5 separate regions of the Mus musculus genome follow, and all the other regions are reported to be linked to region 5. Evidence: microRNA targets listed by miRTarBase, many of them from high-throughput screens and not tested one by one. Region 5 holds a microRNA gene; each other region holds the end of a gene's coding sequence.

Region 1 (3,538 bases), not on the chromosome of region 5:
AAGAACACAAAACAGAAACAAATAAGACACACCACGTTGTCATTTTTAATGTTTGAGAATTTTGTTGTGCATATTAGTTTACAAGTTCTCCATACTCTTAAAAGTTGTTTTCAAGCCAGGATGTGGTGGCACATGCCTTTAATTCCAGTACTTGGGAGGCAGAGGCAGGCAGATTTCTGAGTTCAAGGCCAGCCTGGTCTACAAAGTGAGTTCCAGGACAGCCAGGGCTACACAGAGAAACCCTGTCTTGAAAAACCAAAAAAAAAAAAAAAAAAAACACCAAAAAAAAAAAACACCAAAACCAAAAAACAAACAAAAAAACAAACAAACAAACAAACAAACACGTTGTTTTCATAACTTTTCAACACCAGACTCAACAAGAAGGCCTTTAAGCTCTGCTAGTCTCCCCATTCTTCCTCGGACAGTGAGCACGTCCTCTACTCTCTTCCGTGTATTTTGTCCCTTGACCTGGGCTCTTGCTATTCAGGATGACTGTGCCCCAGCCTCCCCAGATGTTGGAACTGCACATGTAAGCTAACATGTCTGGAAAAGCATTGTTTCTTTCAACTGACATCCATGAAAAGACCTTAAATTCTTTTTTTTTTAATTTAATTTAATTTTAGTTTTTAAAGATTTATTTATTATTATATGTAAGTACACTGTAGCTGTCTTCAGACACACCAGAAGAGGGAGTCAGATCTTGTTACGGATGGTTGTGAGCCACCATGTGGTTGCTGGGATTTGAACTCTGGACCTTCGGAAGAGCAGTCGGGTGCTCCTAACCACTGAGCCATCTCACCAGCCCCCTTAAATTCTTTATTGAGAACTTATTCTTTATTTCTACTAAATATTTTAAACAAAAGTTAAAGGCAGAAAACATGTCAGACTTGAAGGTATATATATTTCATTATTTTTCCTTTGTTTTCTGCCATAAAATTCCAAGTCACTTTTGACATTTCCTGTTCTTCTCATATCCCATAACTTTATATTCGAATTACCACACAACGATATGTCTGCCTCTGTTCTTTGGTTATCCACATACGTGACACCTAATAAAATGTCTCTTACAGCCATTTGTTGCTGATACTTTGTTCGGGGAGACAAGCTGTGGCTCAGGCTACCGTGGAACTTGCTCTGTAGCTCAGGCTAATTTCAAAGTTACCATCCCGATTCTCTTGTCTCCTCCTTAAGTCCTGAGATTATAGGTAGAGGCCACCAATACTGGCCCCCATATTTATTTGTAATCCATAGTGGTTATCTACCAGTAACAACTGAATCTTTATTACAGAGAATTTGACACTCAATGTTATTGAGTGTCCTTAGAGATAAATATATCAATAATTTACAGCTAGCTGATAAATGCGCCACAAGATTGTTCCCTTTAATTTTATATTACTTCAAAATATACATATATACACTCACTGCACATATACTAAATTTAAATTACCCTGTGAAAATATAGATTAACTACAAGCACACATTCAGGGATTCACAGTTTGACAGTAATTTTATATGCAGGTAAAAAGGAGTGTGGTTTTACACCCCTAATTTACATAGCAAGCTGACATGTTTGAATATCCTTTGTAAAAGATTTTTTTTTCCGCATGAATCTTAGAAATGAGGAAATTGGAGACATAAACCCCAAGCTATGTCTATAGCAGTATAAGTCATTGTAATATTATCTTTACTAACAAAGGCCCCAACTCGCTTACTGTGTGCACAGAAAGTGGTATAAAAACGCTACATACAAACCACACAGCAACAAACTTACACAAGATTGGCACTGTCAGTGTTTCACTTTACAGATTTTGACCAAAGCCTCAGAATATTCTTCTCTGGAGCTTACCGAACAGTTACCAATATATAGCATATTTAACTCCACAAAAATAGAAATGGATGGGGAAGTGCTAAAAATATTTAAAATACACAAGAGAGCTATTTATAAATATGTATACACTTTAGCCATGTATTTTGCAGGGTTAAATTTACTAATAAGTGATCCAGAGTACACTATTCAGTCATAGAGAACCTAGGCTTTATTATAACTCCTAGGTACATTTATTAAAATGTACCTTGTATCCCTTTATCTCTTATATCCCTTGTATCCCTCCCTTGGAATGCCCCCATCTCCTAGGTATATGTTCTCACTCTTCTTGGGAAAAAATATGCTTGTTCTGCTTTAAAAAAAAAAAAATTAAAAGGTACTCAGGAAGCTGACGTTAGGAAGACCATTTGAACCCAGGAGTTCAAGGTCAGCCAGTGAAAACCTGCTTTCTACAGAGAAAGGAAAAAGGAACACTTGCAAATAACACATTGACCAGCTATCAAAATTCAAAAAAAAAAATACCTGTCCAACTGAATAAAGAACAAACTTACTAAAAAGAAACTAAATCTGCCTCTTAGTCTTAAAAACTTAGAAAGCCCCAGATTCAATCTCTAGCCTTACAAAGGAAACACAGATTCATCACTCATCAAATGGACCAAAACCGCTTCTTCTCCCATTCAGCTCAGAGATGCACAGCGGCTTCACAGCTGTGTTATGATGCTTACACTGAGCATGTGCAGTTGACCATAATGATGATGAGGATTTATGAAAATACTACTGGGTATGTGGCTGGTAAGCTTATACTGTTAGGATCGATCAGTCACAATGACACACGGGTACAGGTGGCCTTCTGTGTGTTACCAGTTTCTTGATAAGCCCACTGACACTGCTGCATAGGAACTCCGAGTCTGAGCTGTCGATCAGGCCCATCTCCCACTGGAGGCAAAGCTTCTGCTGAATGAGAAGGTAATTTCAGAGTTCTTGTATTTTCCCCAAGCACCAAAGGGCACCACTACTGCAGTGCTGTTGTCTTCGGTACCGTACTGTATTGCCTGCAGGAGTGGGGAAGAAGAGACAGGCGCTGGAGTCAAGGGACCTTGTGCAATCACACAGCATCCTTTCTCTGGAAGGCCAACTGGTTCTACACACACTTTACGATACAAATGTAACTACCTAACAAGGTTTGGAATGGTTTCACCCTGTAACCATGTGCCATATGGTTATTAAGTGCATATGAATTTCAGATGGTTCAACTATATCCTATGCTCCACTGTAGCAATCTTGGCAATAGAAATTACCTGTGCTCCCAGTGAGGACACACCCAAAGCCCTTAGCATGGTACCAATTATGGGCAAGCCTTAATAAATGCTGATTCTTACCAATGAAACTGCTGGTAGGAGTATAGCCCAAGAAATGGAAGAGATTGGGTGAGGGATAAAAAGGAACAAAATATAGGAACATCTTTGTATGAAAGTGCGGCTAGAAACCTACCACTGTATAAGCTACCTTAACATTTAAAACCTCAGAAATGGGTATGTACAAGGTTATAACAAAAATGTTTTTAATATTCCTTCTTCAATGGGAAAGTGGAAATAAATGAAATTGCCTGCAGCAGGATTATAAATCACTTTTAGGGACCAGTTCACATAGATGAGTGCTGGTCAGCAGTGTTTGGAAGTGCTGAGAGTTCCAGTTAGCATCAAACAAGCCAAA
Region 2 (3,538 bases), not on the chromosome of region 5:
TAGCCATATAAAACCTATGCACCCACCTTTTCTACCAGGTTGGTTGCATTAAGGACATTCAGAGAATCACAACAGACAGTTGTTCTGACTGGGTAGCATTTAATATGATCAGGTCTTAAATAAGAAGCCATGAACACAAACATTCAAAACCAAATACATAATAAATAATCATTAAGTTATAAAGTACATCATTCATATTAAAACTAAATTCTCAGGTGTGACTGTAAATAAAACAGAGCAATAACATAGATCAATAATGCTATGAATTTATTCACAAAGAAAACACTTTCAGCTACAGTATTAACGGCCATAACTGATTTCCTCTGAACTCCTATGACCTACAACAACCTCTCTCTCTTTCTCTCTCTCTCTCTCTCTCTCTCTCTATATATATATATATATACATATATATATATATATATATGTATATATATATATATATATGTATGTATGTATGTATGTATGTATGTATATCCCTTCCCTTTTTGAACAACTAAATATCACACTTGGGATAAAATTTAACTCAAAAGTGTGGTCAGGTGTTCCTGTAAGAGTACTCAAAACATTAAAACTCAGACATACGAAGTTCAGAATAAAATACAGAATAGACTTAGGAAAGCCCCACATTCTTGTTCTACAGATAAGAGAATGAAAACCAAAAAAAGCTTACACCAGTGGCAACCTTCATGGACACACAACAGTGTGTCAGGTCCAATGTGTTCCCACCCACAGTGAACAATAATGTCAAAGGACTGGCTGAGTCTTGAGCACAGAGAGGTTCAAGACTGCTGTGCAATTTTGTCTAGTTTACTCTAAAGCGTAGCTTTCCCATGGCTAGTGGAGAAGCCTTCACTGGCTTTTCCAAACGATACAAGCTCTTAGCCTGTGCTGCATTGAATTATTTGTACTTCTTGATTAGAAATTGTCAGTGATTTAAAAGGCTAGAACAATAAACACACCAAAATAAATACATTGTCTTAAATATAAAAATCACAATGTCAAGAAGTCAACAGTTACACAGCCAGAAACAACAAAAGAATAAAACATGGAGACTCCCCTCTCTGTCCATCATTGCTTTGTGAAGGACTGCATCTCTGCTTCAGCTTTCGAGCAGCAAACTCAGCAACCAATGCTAGCACCATTGGACACTTACGTGGGCTATGTGTGTATAATGTCATCAACAGTCACACATTTACAGTTACACAAGTTCTTTGCAATACATATTTTTAAAGTTTAAGAGAATGCGTTGGTTCTGATTGTGACACTTTTCTGGGAATCAGTTAACACTAGTCTGTGCTATCTTAGGGCGGTACACGGGATCTCTGCTTGTTTTAAAGGCACTGTGAGGTACAGACACCTTTTTCCTTAGATCAAAACCATCCCCCAGGCCATGCTTGGATCTCAGATCCATTTTAACCATAAGAAATTCTCAAAGCGATGATACCACTCCAGGGAAAATAGCTTTGTAGACTTTTTAACTTGACATTGAAACATACTGTTGGAAATTATATCAAATGGCAAAACTATTTGCTCAATTTAGCCTCTGTGGTTAAAAGATTGGGATGTTCAGTAAAAGTCTGTTTAAAACTGGAACAGAACCTCTGGTCTCTTGGCTCATCTCCTGATTTTGATTTTAAATAGATGGTTGGATTTAACTTATCAAAAGTGTGCATGCAATGTGTCTTAAGTGCTGAACTTGTTTGGATTGCTTTTTCTTAGAAGTTTCAAAGAGGAAAGAAAGGAAAGGATGTGGGAGAGGAGACTGAGGCTGGAGCTAGCAGATTCATCACAGGACACCCATAACCACTTGAGGTGAGAGCTACAAACTTGAAAATTCTACTTGGCTCCAGAAGATAGTGAGGTTTGCACTTCCACAGGCTTTCATTGCCATCTTCACAAGATTAAACTATTAGCTTATAAAGGAACTTGACATTGGGAGGAAGGCAACTTAAGCCTGCTTCTTACTACACCCTTGCCTCTTTAGAAAAACAGTGAAAGCCAGGGGTGACCCTCATAATAGGTTAAATTTTGATAGACCTAATAGAGAAGAAAAACTGTACCTATCTGGAAAGCCTCTCTTGTAGAGTATAAAGATGTTAGTTATCAATATGCTAGATGTTTGTGGTAATGAGTAAACTCTTCAGACATGCTTTCAAGTACAAAGTTTTTCTTAAAGAATAAAGACTTCAATTTTCAATTTCATCTTATGCTTATTATTTCCAGCTTACATCATTCCGTTAGGATCATAAGAGGTCTTACTCTCGCAGATCGACAAATTCCCTAGCTGTATTTTTGCTAAAAGCTTTAGTTTTCCCCTTCCAATCAAAGAATGTCACAGTTGGGCAATAAGATGAAGCCACAGCTTGAGAAGCACCAGAAATCCCTGACACGGGAAGCTGGGCTCTTGTTGAGTTGAGATTTTCCATGTTGACAGCATGGAGTCTGTGCAGGGAACCACAATGTCTGCTTAGTTAATGGGCGAAAGGATCTTAACCTATAGCTTTTCTGAGTTGTTCTTATCATAACGTATCGTACTTCTCCACTTGCAATCCCAAGAGGCAAGATGTACTCCTGCATTCGTGAGCGTCTATAGTGTCCGGCGTCTCCTCAGTCCTCGGGAATCTTCTCGGATCCTCAGGAATCTTCGGGTCCTATGTGTTCTAGGAGAGATGCTGATGAATCATCTGTGGGAACGAGAGCCTATGAGTCACTGGGCACAGGAGGTACCCGGACACAACATGGAAGTGAAAGAAATGCATTTAAGGTGCATACCTTTTGAAGGAGCCATTTTAGTCTTTCTAGGAATTCTTTGGGTGTCCTTTTCTCATACGAATCACAGGAAGGGCATTTCTGTAAATCAAAATTAATCAATTAATTAATTAATTAATTTTAAAACTTTAAAAATTATTTTTTAAGAACTAACTTCATACTTCATAAAATACTTATGTAAAATTCATTTCTTCTCTTGTGAACATAAATCATATTCAGTAACAAGCATTAGGAAAATTCTGTAAAATTGTTCTGGAAACCACGTGTGATTTTATCCTCAGAGACAACTCTGAATATTTTGGTGTTTAAATTATTATATCCGTTTTTTGTCCCCTTTCTTCCTCTTCCTCTTCCTCGCCCTCCTCCTCCTCTGCATTCTTGTTACCCTGGTTGTTATATGCTGTTTGCTGTTAGTTTTTAACCAATTACAAGGGTTTCCTGGGCTTTAGATATGCTTTCAGGGCAGGATTTGTGGTGGCTGCTCTGTCGCTCCCCCTCCCACCCACCCCCACCCTGCACAGATGGAGCACTTACTATTTTTAGATACAGAAGTGGTATCTAGCTTTTATGTACAAGTCTATAGAGATCACCTGGGCAGATAATTTTTTCATATATATCAAATTTCTAGATCTTATCAAGTAGATTAAAGGGATAAATACCTCAAGGACTATATATCATAAAACATGTTTCCTCTTTGTGCTTCGACGAGTCTTACCACTATTGGGCACTGTTTCCACAATTACAAGACAGGATTTCCTCTTTTAACTTC
Region 3 (3,522 bases), not on the chromosome of region 5:
AGCAGAGGCTGGACCCCATTGAAGCTATAACTGCTTTCTCCTCTCCCCTCTCTGTCAAGAGCAAAGAAATCCGCTAACACCAAACACCAGCCTCTCCATCCAGTCACAAATAGCTGAGGATTTTCAGGGACCCAACAACGGGAAGCTCTTGGTTAGTGATCAGAAACAGAGATGTTGATGTCCATATCCTATCCTTCCCCAAAGGCTAACACCAGCTCCCCGCCCTAACTGTCCTACGTCAACTGCCAGGAGGTCAGTTAGAGCCTCACCTGAGTTCTTGGCCGAAACATCCATTTTCTTTGTCCCTAACTCTTCTAAGCCTTCAAGACCACATTTTGGTTCCCATTGCTCCCTCTCTTCTTTCCCCGCGATACCCTGGGGCTCCTGCAGACTGCAGACCTCAGCCTGCCAGCCTGAAACTCCACACTGCACCGCTGGGCAGCAGCTGGTTGGCTGGAGAGTGGCAAGAACACTGGTAGACGACTCCTCAGAGGGAACTCATGCCCTTCCTCTCTGTCATTAGCCCACCTCTATCTAACACAGCCTGGCCTGCTCGGTCCCTTGTACACACACAGTTCTCTCCAAAGGATCAGAGCTACCGCAGACACCAAGAAGTCAATTCTATCCTGTCTGCCAAAGCACAAGGGACCCCCTGGGCAGCAAGTGTTCTTAGGAAAACAGGCTCTCCAAGCACACACATGGCTGCCCTCCTCAATCCCTAGCGTTTCCTCTTCACACACATACCCACTATCTTCTTTCTTCTCTACATTTTGTTCTTGCTCCCTGTGAATTACCCCTCCATTTCCCACCTCCCAGGTTTCTTCATCTGCTGCCCATCCATGGAAAACCCATTCTAGTTCTTCACTTCTCCATCGTTGTGTGTGCCTCTCCAGATCTCTCTCTCTCTCTCTCTCTCTCTCTCTCTCTCTCTCTCTCTCTCTCTCTCTCTCTCTCTCTCCATTCTCTCCATTCCTCCCTTTCCATGCCTGTCGCCTGTCTCCTGCCTCATCTTTACTTCGCCGGCTTTGCTCCTGCCCGCTTCTCAGTCAGTCACCCACTCCTGCCCCTCTCGCCACTACCTGGACCCTCCCCTCTGGTTTGAAGCTGAGGATCTGACTTCCTGCTCCCTTCTCCTTCTGACAAGGCTCCCCCACCCTCCCTGTCCATTCCCAGTCTCCTGGCTACCTGCTGAAGATGACTCCAGCACTCTGGCTCCAGGGAGGGACCAGGTTGGGACAAGAGCTGGGGAAGACAAGGGCAGTGGCCAAAGCTCAGGAGGAGGTGTCTACCCTGGAGGAGAGAGGAGAAAATGTGGAGATGGGATCTGGAACGTTCCAAGTGTCAGGAATTCTGCCAGGAACCAGCATCAGATTCCAGGTAGGGTCCTGCTGGGGCAGCCTTGGGTCATGGGCCTGGCTCAGGAATCCTAACTCAGCTCCAAGTCCTCTGAAAATGAACACAAGGACAGCAAACTCATAGACTAGCCGTTCTTCCTCTCTGGCTGAGGCCAATGTAACACAGGGAAGTGAGACGCCTCCTGGACAGCCTATAGGAGGCACACATTCCTCGACACAAGGACCAGGCAGCAGGCCGTGTCCTCGGAGACATTATGTTTGATGACGTTCGTCTGCCACCCCTCCACTGGAAACTGGAGGCTTTTCTATGATTAGATGGCTCTGCCACCAGATCCATAAGGTAGCCAAAGATGGTCAAAAACTACAACAAAATAAAAAACAAAACAACAACAACAACAACAACAAAAAACCACCTGGAATCTCCCTCGTTTTTCTCTCTGCTAAGGGGGAGGGAGGGGCCCCCCACTGCAGGAGAAGAGAGATCTTCTCATCTGCCCTTTCCTAACACACGCACACACACACACACACACACACACACACACACGCACACACAAACACACACATACATACATACATGCACACACATACACACGCACACACACACACACACACACATACACACATACACACACGCACACACACACAAACACACACATACACACATACACGCACACACATACTCACGCATACACACGCATACACACACATACACACACATACACGCACACACTCATGCACACACACCTACCTCAGCTCCAAGCACTGCCCATGAGGTTGCAGACCCTGGGCTTATCGCAAGGCGAGAAGTGGGCAAAGAGGAGAAAGAGGCAGGGACAGGGTAACAGGGCCTGGGGTGGGGACAAGGGTACCCTGTTCAGAGGTGACCTGCAAGTTCAAGTTAGGCAGAAAAGTATCAAAGACGCAAGACAGTCTCTGCCCTTGGCAGATGTCCAGGGTGTAGGAAGCATGAGAAGGAGAGGGGTAACCCCTAAGTCCCCACCTCTGTGCCCCCTCTCCACAGCCACCAACCCTGACAATGGGCCTGAGAAGTCTATGCTGTACAAAACAGGCCAGGCTCGAGGGGCCAGTCACCAGTGAGATATCCCAGTAGGGAAGAGGCCAGGCCAGCCTCAGGCTGGAACTAGCTTCCTCCTCCCACAGCCTCCAGAGCCCGTGTCTCCCCCTCAGACTCTGAGGTGATGAAGGACTACCAGCAGCAGGAAGGAAGACCCTATCCTTTCCCCCTCAGCACGGCTCAGATTCTTTTGAGAGCTGGGTGCAGGCTTGAATGAGGGAGGCAGAGGAGGCCCCGTTGGGGGGCTGGTGGCACCTGGAGCTTTGTGGCAGATGTGGTGGGACCATCATCAGCGAATAAAAATAAAGTAGGAAAGAGTCTGGCCCTCCTGGGGCAGTGTGTTGAGTAAGTCTCTTTAGGCGATCAGGACCGGCAGGCAAGGACGCAGCAGGCAGCCCTGCACACTGAAGGGGTCCAAGGAGATTGCGCGGCAGAGCGTCCTTTCCCTGGGGATCCCCAGGGACCTCCAGCTAGTCTACACAGGAGAGAAGGAAACCGAGGGACCAAAGAGGGAGGCCCAGGCTCCACTAGGTCCAATGGAGGCGGGGCCAGACTCAGGATCTCAAGGGCTCTGCCTTCTTGCCAGGCTGCCACCTAGCCCCTGCCTCTCTTCAGAGCCCGGAGGAGGTCCGTGTGCAGCCAGTTCAAGATTTGGGTCTGGAGCTTGAACGCAGGAATGAGAGGGCAGCAGACGGGATATGCTGAGGTCAGGCCAACTCCTGGGCTATAAAATCCCGGCTTTCAGGGTCCCTGTGTGTGAGCAACAGGGCATGGTAGGACTCCCCAGCCAGACACATCACCTCCTGGCCGCAGCACGGAACTTACTGTAGTGCCCACGAAATCTGTGGGAGGAAGGGAGGGGAGGGGAGAAAGAGAGAGGGGGAAGGGGAGGGAGAGGAAGAGGGAGAATGTTAGAGCCTGTGAGGTCCCAGCTGCCCCCTCAGCCACTCCCCAAGACACAAATGGCCAGAAGTGACTAGAACCAAGTCCTTGAATGACAGGTCAGCCTTAAGCACACCATGTAACCCATTAGCTGTCATGTGTGAAATAAAGACCCTCTCCCACTCCACAGGGCCATTCTGAAAGGTCATA
Region 4 (3,538 bases), not on the chromosome of region 5:
GCTCACAAAGACATTGTTGAACAAAGGGATTCAAGAGACACAAGAGGTACAACACACCTTCCAGAAGTATTTAAACAGTGGGGGCTGGCAATGAGATGGTTTAGCATATGAAAGTGTTTGCTGGGTAGTCACTGTGGAAAGAAAGAACTCCTAAGAGCTGTCATCCTCTGTGTATGAATGTGTGCATCCACAGTCACACAGCATGGTGACAGCTGGAAGAGGAGAGAGTTCGGTCTGTTTAGACGGAAAGCCTATTAGGTCACAAAGAGCAGGCAGAGGAACCTGAGTCTAGGGCTCTGGGGAGAGGCTCAGCTGGGAAATGTCAGTCTGGAGTCTTTTGCCTGGAGATGCTTGCTGTTCAGAGTAGGTTGCTTGGTGAGATCAGGGGAACAAGTGTCCCAAGAGGACTCTGAGAATTGAACCTTAGGGTGCGCTCCCACGAGAGGCTACAGAGAGGAAGAAAAGAACCAGGAGGTATGCAAAGTATTTCTGGGGAGAAAGCAAGGTGGACTGTCCCATGCATGTGTGTGTGAAGGGACAGTGTTCACTGTGCTGACCGGGAGTCGCACAGGAGCCACACGGGAGCCACACGGGAGCCGCACGGGAGCCACACGGGAGCCACACGGGAGCCACACGGGAGCCAGTGGCCTTGTGAGGCAGGAGCCTGTGGTGAGCGTTGTTTACAGCCAGCAACAAGGAAGCTGAGAGGGGAGTGAGATTCACCTATGGGTAAGTTCTACTGGGCGTGGGCCTGGGACCAGAGAAGCAGGATAGTAACCCCGGGGGAGTCAGTGTGGGGCAGAGGGCTGTGCACAGACAGCCTGGTCCCCAGTGACCCAGTGGGTGGTGATTTCCACCTGCATGGGATGGGAAGTGTTTGGTCCCGCCTCCCAGGTCCCTGGCTCCTGTCATGTAGCTACAGCCTCCCACAGCCTGCCCCCCAACACACACAAAGAGTTATGTGGCCATCAGTCACGGAGGAGCAGCACCAAGCCCTCCCCCATGCAAATAAGGTTTCCCCAAAGCTCTCAGACCAAACCAATGAGAAGTACCTGTTGTCAGACCCTTACCCACCCCCAAAACTGTATATAAGAATCCTATCTGGAAGGATCAGAGGTGTGTGCGAGAACTACTCCATCCTCTGAGCCTTCTGTCCTAAGAGCTGTAACACTTGGGAAGAGGTCTGCTCTCCCAAAATGCTGCCTGAAGCTCCGCACTCCTCACTAGCTAGTCCGTCTCTCATTAGCCCAGCCAGACCCTACTCAGTGCAGGACTGTGCAGAGTAACTGAGCAATCTGGCAGGCACAGCAGAGATGGAGGTGGAGCCAACTGCAGCAGCAGAAGCAGCTGAAGTGACCTCCTCTCCCTGCCCACACTCGCTTCCCTTCACCAGAACTCTCGCACCAGGCTGGGCCAGAGATCTCCGTAGAAAGCCTCCGGGACACAGGCCCACAAGTCAGGACAGAGAGAGGTTTTAAACAAGGCGTGTTAAGGAATGCTTGTGTGTAGATGGGAGTGGCTCATTCCTGAGATACAGAGTCCAGCAGGGAGAGGAGCACCCCAAATAAGCTTGGTGGTGTTAGTGGGGTTTCTCTGGGCTACTCCAGACTCCTGCTTGGACTTCTCAGGTGGAACACAGTTACATCACCCCAGCCTCCCTCTTCTTTCCAGCCTTTCACTGAGCACACACCCTCATGCTCACCCTGGTTGGGCTCTCCTCAGTGGGCACAAGTCCCCACGTGTCCCCATTGCTAGCTAGCTTCTCAGGATTTGAATGCTATGACCGCCATCCTGTGTGTCCATTTTCAGGCTGGTTTGGCGAGATGGTTGGCTAGAGAGGTAGCTTCAATGCCCTTGCTGCTGTTGTAGGGATCAGAATTTGGCCCCCAGCATTGGCCTGGGGCAGTGCATTACAGCCCACAACTCTAATTCCAAAGGATCCAGCGCCCTCTTCTGGCCTCCTGAGGCATCAGCACACATGTGCACACACACACACACATAAATAAGTAAATATTCATTTATTCATTTATTTAAAAAAGACTGCCAGGAAGACACTTGGTTATCCTTCCTGGATCAGTTCCAGCTGAGGGGTCATCTCACCTGGAGGACACAGTCTGACCTGAACCATAACGCACAGACCCCCTCTACCTCTCTAGCACACATGCTGTATACGCATGCTGCAGCTGCCAGCAACCACAGTGAGTGAGTTGGACTCTCGGGAGAGAGAGGAGTCTGGGGTCTGGTTTCAGCAGATTTACAGGACACGGAGAATCTCTGAGCAATCCTTGAAGGAAGAACCAACATTTCTGTCCCTAACGCCCAGTAGAGAGCCTGGCTCCCTAGGGATGCTCTCAATAAATGTTTGATGAGTGGATAGCTCGGTGGTGTTCTCCAATGTAAGAGAGAAATAGTTACATAATACCTTCCAGTAGGGGCAACTGAATACCTTAATATTTATGCAGCGGTTGGAGCCGCGCCCGACACACAGTAAGCATTCTGTGGGTTAAATACATGCATGTGAACATAACCTCATACATAATAAATAAAAGGGCTGGAGTCGGGAGAGGTGGTTTAGCCGGTGAAGTGCCTGTCACAAAAGCCAGCTGATTCAATTCTCAGACGCCACACAAAAATAAAAGGTCAGAATCCACCCTACAAAGTTGTCTTCTTGCTCGGATGCATCTGCAACTACAGATAAGCTGATTGACTAAAGTAGCTGGAAAAGGTTGGGGATCCGTGTTTATTAGAAACAGTCCAACAAGAAAGGACGGTGGGCAGAGAGAGCCCTGCCTGCCTCCACTCCTTCCCAGTCTCTAGAAGAGATCACCAGTCTGTACCTGGCCAGCTAGCACCTTTCCCTCGGATGGGGTTTGTGTGTGGTGGTGGTGGTGGTGGTCTCTAGAGACTTGCACTGCACGGTTGAAGCAAAGAAGGAGCCCTAGTTCAAGGGCACTGCAGGAGGTCGTAGGTCACGTAGCCCACGTCGTCCACCTGGTTCACCTCATGGTCCACCTTGTTCACCTCATTTTGGAAACTCACACGCCAGAAGAATTTGCCATGGCAGAAATAGGCTTTGTCTACGGGAAACAAGAACACACAAGAAAGCTGAGTCCTCTGCTCCCTCATCATTGACAAAAGGAACAAGATTTTTACAAGCACCTGTGGTGGTTTGAATGAAAATGGACCCTATAGGCCCATAGGGAGTGGCACTTATGAGGTGGGAGGGGGTGTGGCCTTATTGGAGGACCTGTGTCACTAGGGTGGGCTTTGAGATTTCAGATGTTCACGCCAAGCCCAGTGTCTCTCTCTTCTTGCTGCCTGCTGCTGAGGTAGAGCTCTCAGCTACCTCTCCAACACCACGTTTGCCTGTGTGCCACCTCGTTTCCCACCATGAAAATAATGGACTGAGCCTCTGACCTGTAAGCCAGCCCCAATTAAATCTTCTCCTTTGCCTGAAGAGAGGCAGCCCGGTGACAGTTTAAGTGGGAAGTCTTCCAAATAGGGGACAACGGGCCCGAAGACCTTAAGGGATGGAGGA
Region 5 (3,538 bases):
TCTTTCATTTAGCAAGGAAACAAGAAGGGAACCAAGTCCCACTGGAAAAGTCCTGTTACCCTGAAAAGAATCTACTTTAACGGACCACCAGCAGGACGTTTTACTGATCTTGAGGACAAAAGTCTAAATTATTTCCAACCTAAGTCTTTCTAATCTGCAAAGAATTTTCACAGTTCTTAACTCCATGGAGCAGTATCTAGGAGATCATATTTGAATGCCAGGCAGATGACCTAGTCAGACTTGCTTAAAAGAACTGCCCCATCCCTGAATAAGTAATTCCAAAGTGAAAAGGTCCTTTTCTCAAAAAGAGAGGGATCCTGGCTTGATTGGACAAGGGTTGGATGAACAAGACAGGCCAACACCAAGAAACCATTTTCCTTAAATTTTCTTCTATTCCCCAAAGTTGTTTTGACTTCATTGTCTTGATTTTCAAAGTGTGTTTTAATTAACAAGGATGGCTAATGTTTTACACACACACAAACAACTTGTGCCAAGTCATTTCACCAAATAGAGAGCTAAGATTTTTTTCAATACAAATCTTTCTTTAGAGCAGTGGTTCTCAACCTTCCTAATGCTGTGACCCTTTAATTCAGTTCCTCATGTTGTGGTGACCCCCAACTATAAAATTATTTTCATTGTTACTTCATAACTGTAATTTTACTTCTGCTATTAATCATAATGTAAATATTTTTGGAGACAACATTAGCCAAAGGGGTCATGACACACAGGTTGAGAGCTGCTGCTTTAGATGGAAGGCCATCTAAAAGACAGAGGAAAATTTGAATAATTTGAACAGTTATTCAATGCAGTTGAGAGCATTTGAAAAATGACATAGTCATCACATACCCCAGTAACTGCCCATGACTTTGGTATTTATGATTGCACTCAGTGTTGGTCTTTGGTTGAGACAGAAGAATGTCTGTATGATTGGGCTAAACAGTTTAGAGCATCCACAGAAGGTAGTAGGATGTTCTTGATATACATTACAACCTGTTCAGAGGAAGCTCAGTTTCCTTTACCAGTTAGAATTTGAACATGGGGTTGTTAATCTGGGAGAATCTGATTCACTCTTCTCACTTCTTGAATTCCCTGGGTAAGGTTCTTTGATGTTTCAAATTGTCACCCTTGTCTTAGGAAAGTTATGGGCTCAATGATGGTAATTTTCATGTTATGGTTATCCAAATGCTTTTGATGATGGTGTAATGATCAAAAAAGATGCCAGTGATGACAATTGAACGTCCCTTTGCCTTCCCAGCCTCCTTCATATATTCTCAGGCATAGGATGACAAAGGGAAGTCCACGAGTCACATGAAGAAGGACTGTAGCCATGGTACACGGTCAGGAGCTCCTCCGCCTGCCTCCTCTGCCCCTCTTAGCCAACCTCTTCATTTCCTGCTCATCTTGATTCTCCGGCATCTTAGCCACTGACCAGCATTCTCTGCCCCTTGAGTCCTTGTTTGATATTTTGTTCAAAGCAATGCTTAGCCAAGTCCTGAACAGAGTGAGTCCTCAACTAGGTGCTGAATGAAGCAATGCCCATAAGCTTTCAAAGGTAGCCAAGTTTTAGCGAGTCTTCTCTTAAGGGAGCTAATGCTTTGTACGTGGATGGAAGGGGTAGTAAAGGTTTGGGAGTTACATCTGACTAGGTATGTACTCAGGTGCCTAAGTAGGTGGACATAATATTAAAGGCATAACTTATCTGAGATATCATTTTATAACTACAATAAAGCTATGCAATTTCTACCTTGAATGAATTTGTCAAGTATTAAAAGAGACAGTTTATATGGTGATACCTTACATAGTATCTGGAACTTGAATAAATCCTCCTTTCTTCTAGTCATATTTAGGATGCTGCTATCCTGTCCTAGGTGGCATCTCCAGGGTAACAGGTAAAAAGGAATCAATAAAGTCTGATGGGAATGGATGTCTCAGAAGAGATAAGCAGCAGTCAGAAGAGTGATGTGGTTAGGAATTTTTTAAAGGAAATTATAGCATCTATGGTTAATTTTCTTGGTTGGGGTTTAAGAGGAAATTCAAGATTTTTGTTAATTATACTTACCAATTGGGTCTAATTGGCAACTACCCCAAAATGAATAAAACAAGCGGGAGTCAAGAGAGAAAAACGGCAGGCATCCTGTCAAAAAACAAAAGCTTTGAAATTTCTACAACCCAATGGTCGGATACACATTTTATTAAAGCAGATGGACCACCCAATTTGTATAAGTCTCTGTGTGTGACTGAACCCATACTGCACACATAGAGCTGTGCAAAGAATCACACAGACTTCTCAAAACCAAACACAAGCAGATTCATAAGATCAACATCCCTTCTCTTGAAGGAAACATATTTTATTATGTTTTAATCTAAGACAGATATGGGAGATGAAGGGACTGAGTGCTTGTTCCAGTGCTTAGCACTGGTAAAACCCAGAAGCCGTGCTTGCTGGCCTGTTACATAGAATAACTACAATTCTTTCAGCTTGGTGTCTTCCAGGACAACAAGAACCAACTTCATGCCTGTCTTCTTTTTAGAAACGTTTCTGCGACTTTTGTTTGTTTCTTTGTTTGTTTGAAACACATACCTTTCATTGTTAAATGACTAGCTACGTGTGAATTAAAATACTAGCTGGTTACACGATAACCTATTTGATTTGCTACTAAACAATAACAATGATATTTACTTAAGATTTTCATTCTGCTCTTTTCTCGCTCGCTCATTGGCTAGCCAGAGGGGTATCTGTCTCCCCAACACTCCCTCTCTTTTTCTTTAACAGTCATCAAAGCTATTGCAGTGTGTTAGATTTCCCCTCTAGCTGGTTTTGCTGCCTCCCTCACGGGAAAGACATTCACAGGTAAGACCCTGTCTGGGAGCTGCTCACTGGGGAACCAAGCCAGCTTTTGTCTAGCTGGTGCAAAAAACACCTGCTACTCAATCTGAGCCAAAGGAAACGAGTCTGCACTTGCCTTCCTGGTGGTCTTTGCAGCATCAGAACAGAATTTAGTCGAACTGCAGACCCTCATGGTGAAACTTATGACCCCAGCTTTTTAGGACTGAGCTAGATTTCTAGAGAAGCCCCAGTTAGTGGCATTTGTTGGGACCACAGACTGAGCAAGGGCAGATGGCTGGTGAGAAGCATTATGCCCGTTTTCATGGGTCACCACTGAGCCCTTCCTCAGGCCTATGAGATGATAAAGGTTCGTTGTTGAAACAGTGAGTGCGTTGAGAGAACCATGGAGGACTAGCCCTCAAAGCACCGGACATGCAGCATCCTGCAGTACATGGGGTCACTTTCTTTGGCTTCTCTATTGTTCATAAAGTAACAATCCAAGAGTAGTGACAGTAGATTTCCCAGAGTGTCCATAATTAGTTTACTTCTGAGGACAATTAAGCTCATAAGAATATACTCTGTGTGTGGCAATCAGACCACTTGCTAAATACTGTAAGCAAAGCTTCTAATAGGTAGCAACCATACAAGCCCCAATATTTCTTGTATTGGGGTAAGGAACTGAGCAATAAACAAATAAATAATAAAGTTGAA

What was found. Region 5 holds the annotated microRNA mmu-miR-204-5p (UUCCCUUUGUCAUCCUAUGCCU, at 1,274-1,295, opposite strand). A microRNA usually pairs through its seed, bases 2 to 8, with sites in the 3' UTR of a target mRNA and lowers its output. Matches are read on the target gene's strand: a 7mer-m8 pairs with bases 2 to 8, a 7mer-A1 pairs with bases 2 to 7 and ends in A, and an 8mer does both.
Region 1: miRTarBase lists Ppm1k as a target of mmu-miR-204-5p. Seed matches in the 3' UTR shown: 7mer-m8 at 2,079-2,085 and 8mer at 1,376-1,383.
Region 2: the mRNA of Il21 is a reported target of mmu-miR-204-5p. Seed matches in the 3' UTR shown: 8mer at 478-485.
Region 3: miRTarBase lists Lhfpl4 as a target of mmu-miR-204-5p. Seed matches in the 3' UTR shown: 7mer-m8 at 974-980.
Region 4: the mRNA of Mmp9 is a reported target of mmu-miR-204-5p. The part of its 3' UTR that is shown has no 7-base or 8-base seed match.

What each region holds. Positions count from the first base shown.
Region 1 is chr6:57,507,973-57,511,510 of GRCm38, forward strand. It overlaps Ppm1k (protein phosphatase 1K (PP2C domain containing)), which reads right to left. Exons shown (of 7, transcript NM_175523.5): 7 at 1-2,877. The coding sequence ends at 2,746. Among named protein-coding and RNA genes, the nearest start is that of Ppm1k, 26 kb to the right of the region's middle.
Region 2 is chr3:37,222,677-37,226,214 of GRCm38, forward strand. Il21 (interleukin 21) reads right to left here. Exons shown (of 5, transcript NM_021782.3): 4 at 2,773-2,850; 5 at 83-2,684. The coding sequence ends at 2,661. Gm36168 (a long non-coding RNA gene) reads left to right here and starts at 1,721. Exons shown (of 4, transcript XR_389693.2): 1 at 1,721-1,812; 2 at 2,557-2,764.
Region 3 is chr6:113,168,687-113,172,208 of GRCm38, forward strand. It overlaps Lhfpl4 (lipoma HMGIC fusion partner-like protein 4), which reads right to left. Exons shown (of 4, transcript NM_177763.3): 4 at 1-3,272. The coding sequence ends at 3,172. Among named protein-coding and RNA genes, the nearest start is that of Lhfpl4, 25 kb to the right of the region's middle.
Region 4 is chr2:164,954,312-164,957,849 of GRCm38, reverse strand. It overlaps Mmp9 (matrix metallopeptidase 9), which reads right to left. Exons shown (of 13, transcript NM_013599.4): 13 at 2,000-3,077. The coding sequence ends at 2,944. Among named protein-coding and RNA genes, the nearest start is that of Mmp9, 7.9 kb to the right of the region's middle.
Region 5 is chr19:22,748,367-22,751,904 of GRCm38, reverse strand. It overlaps Mir204 (microRNA 204), which reads right to left and starts at 1,300; the gene lies at 1,233-1,300. The region is part of intron 6 of Trpm3 (transient receptor potential cation channel, subfamily M, member 3); the gene reads right to left.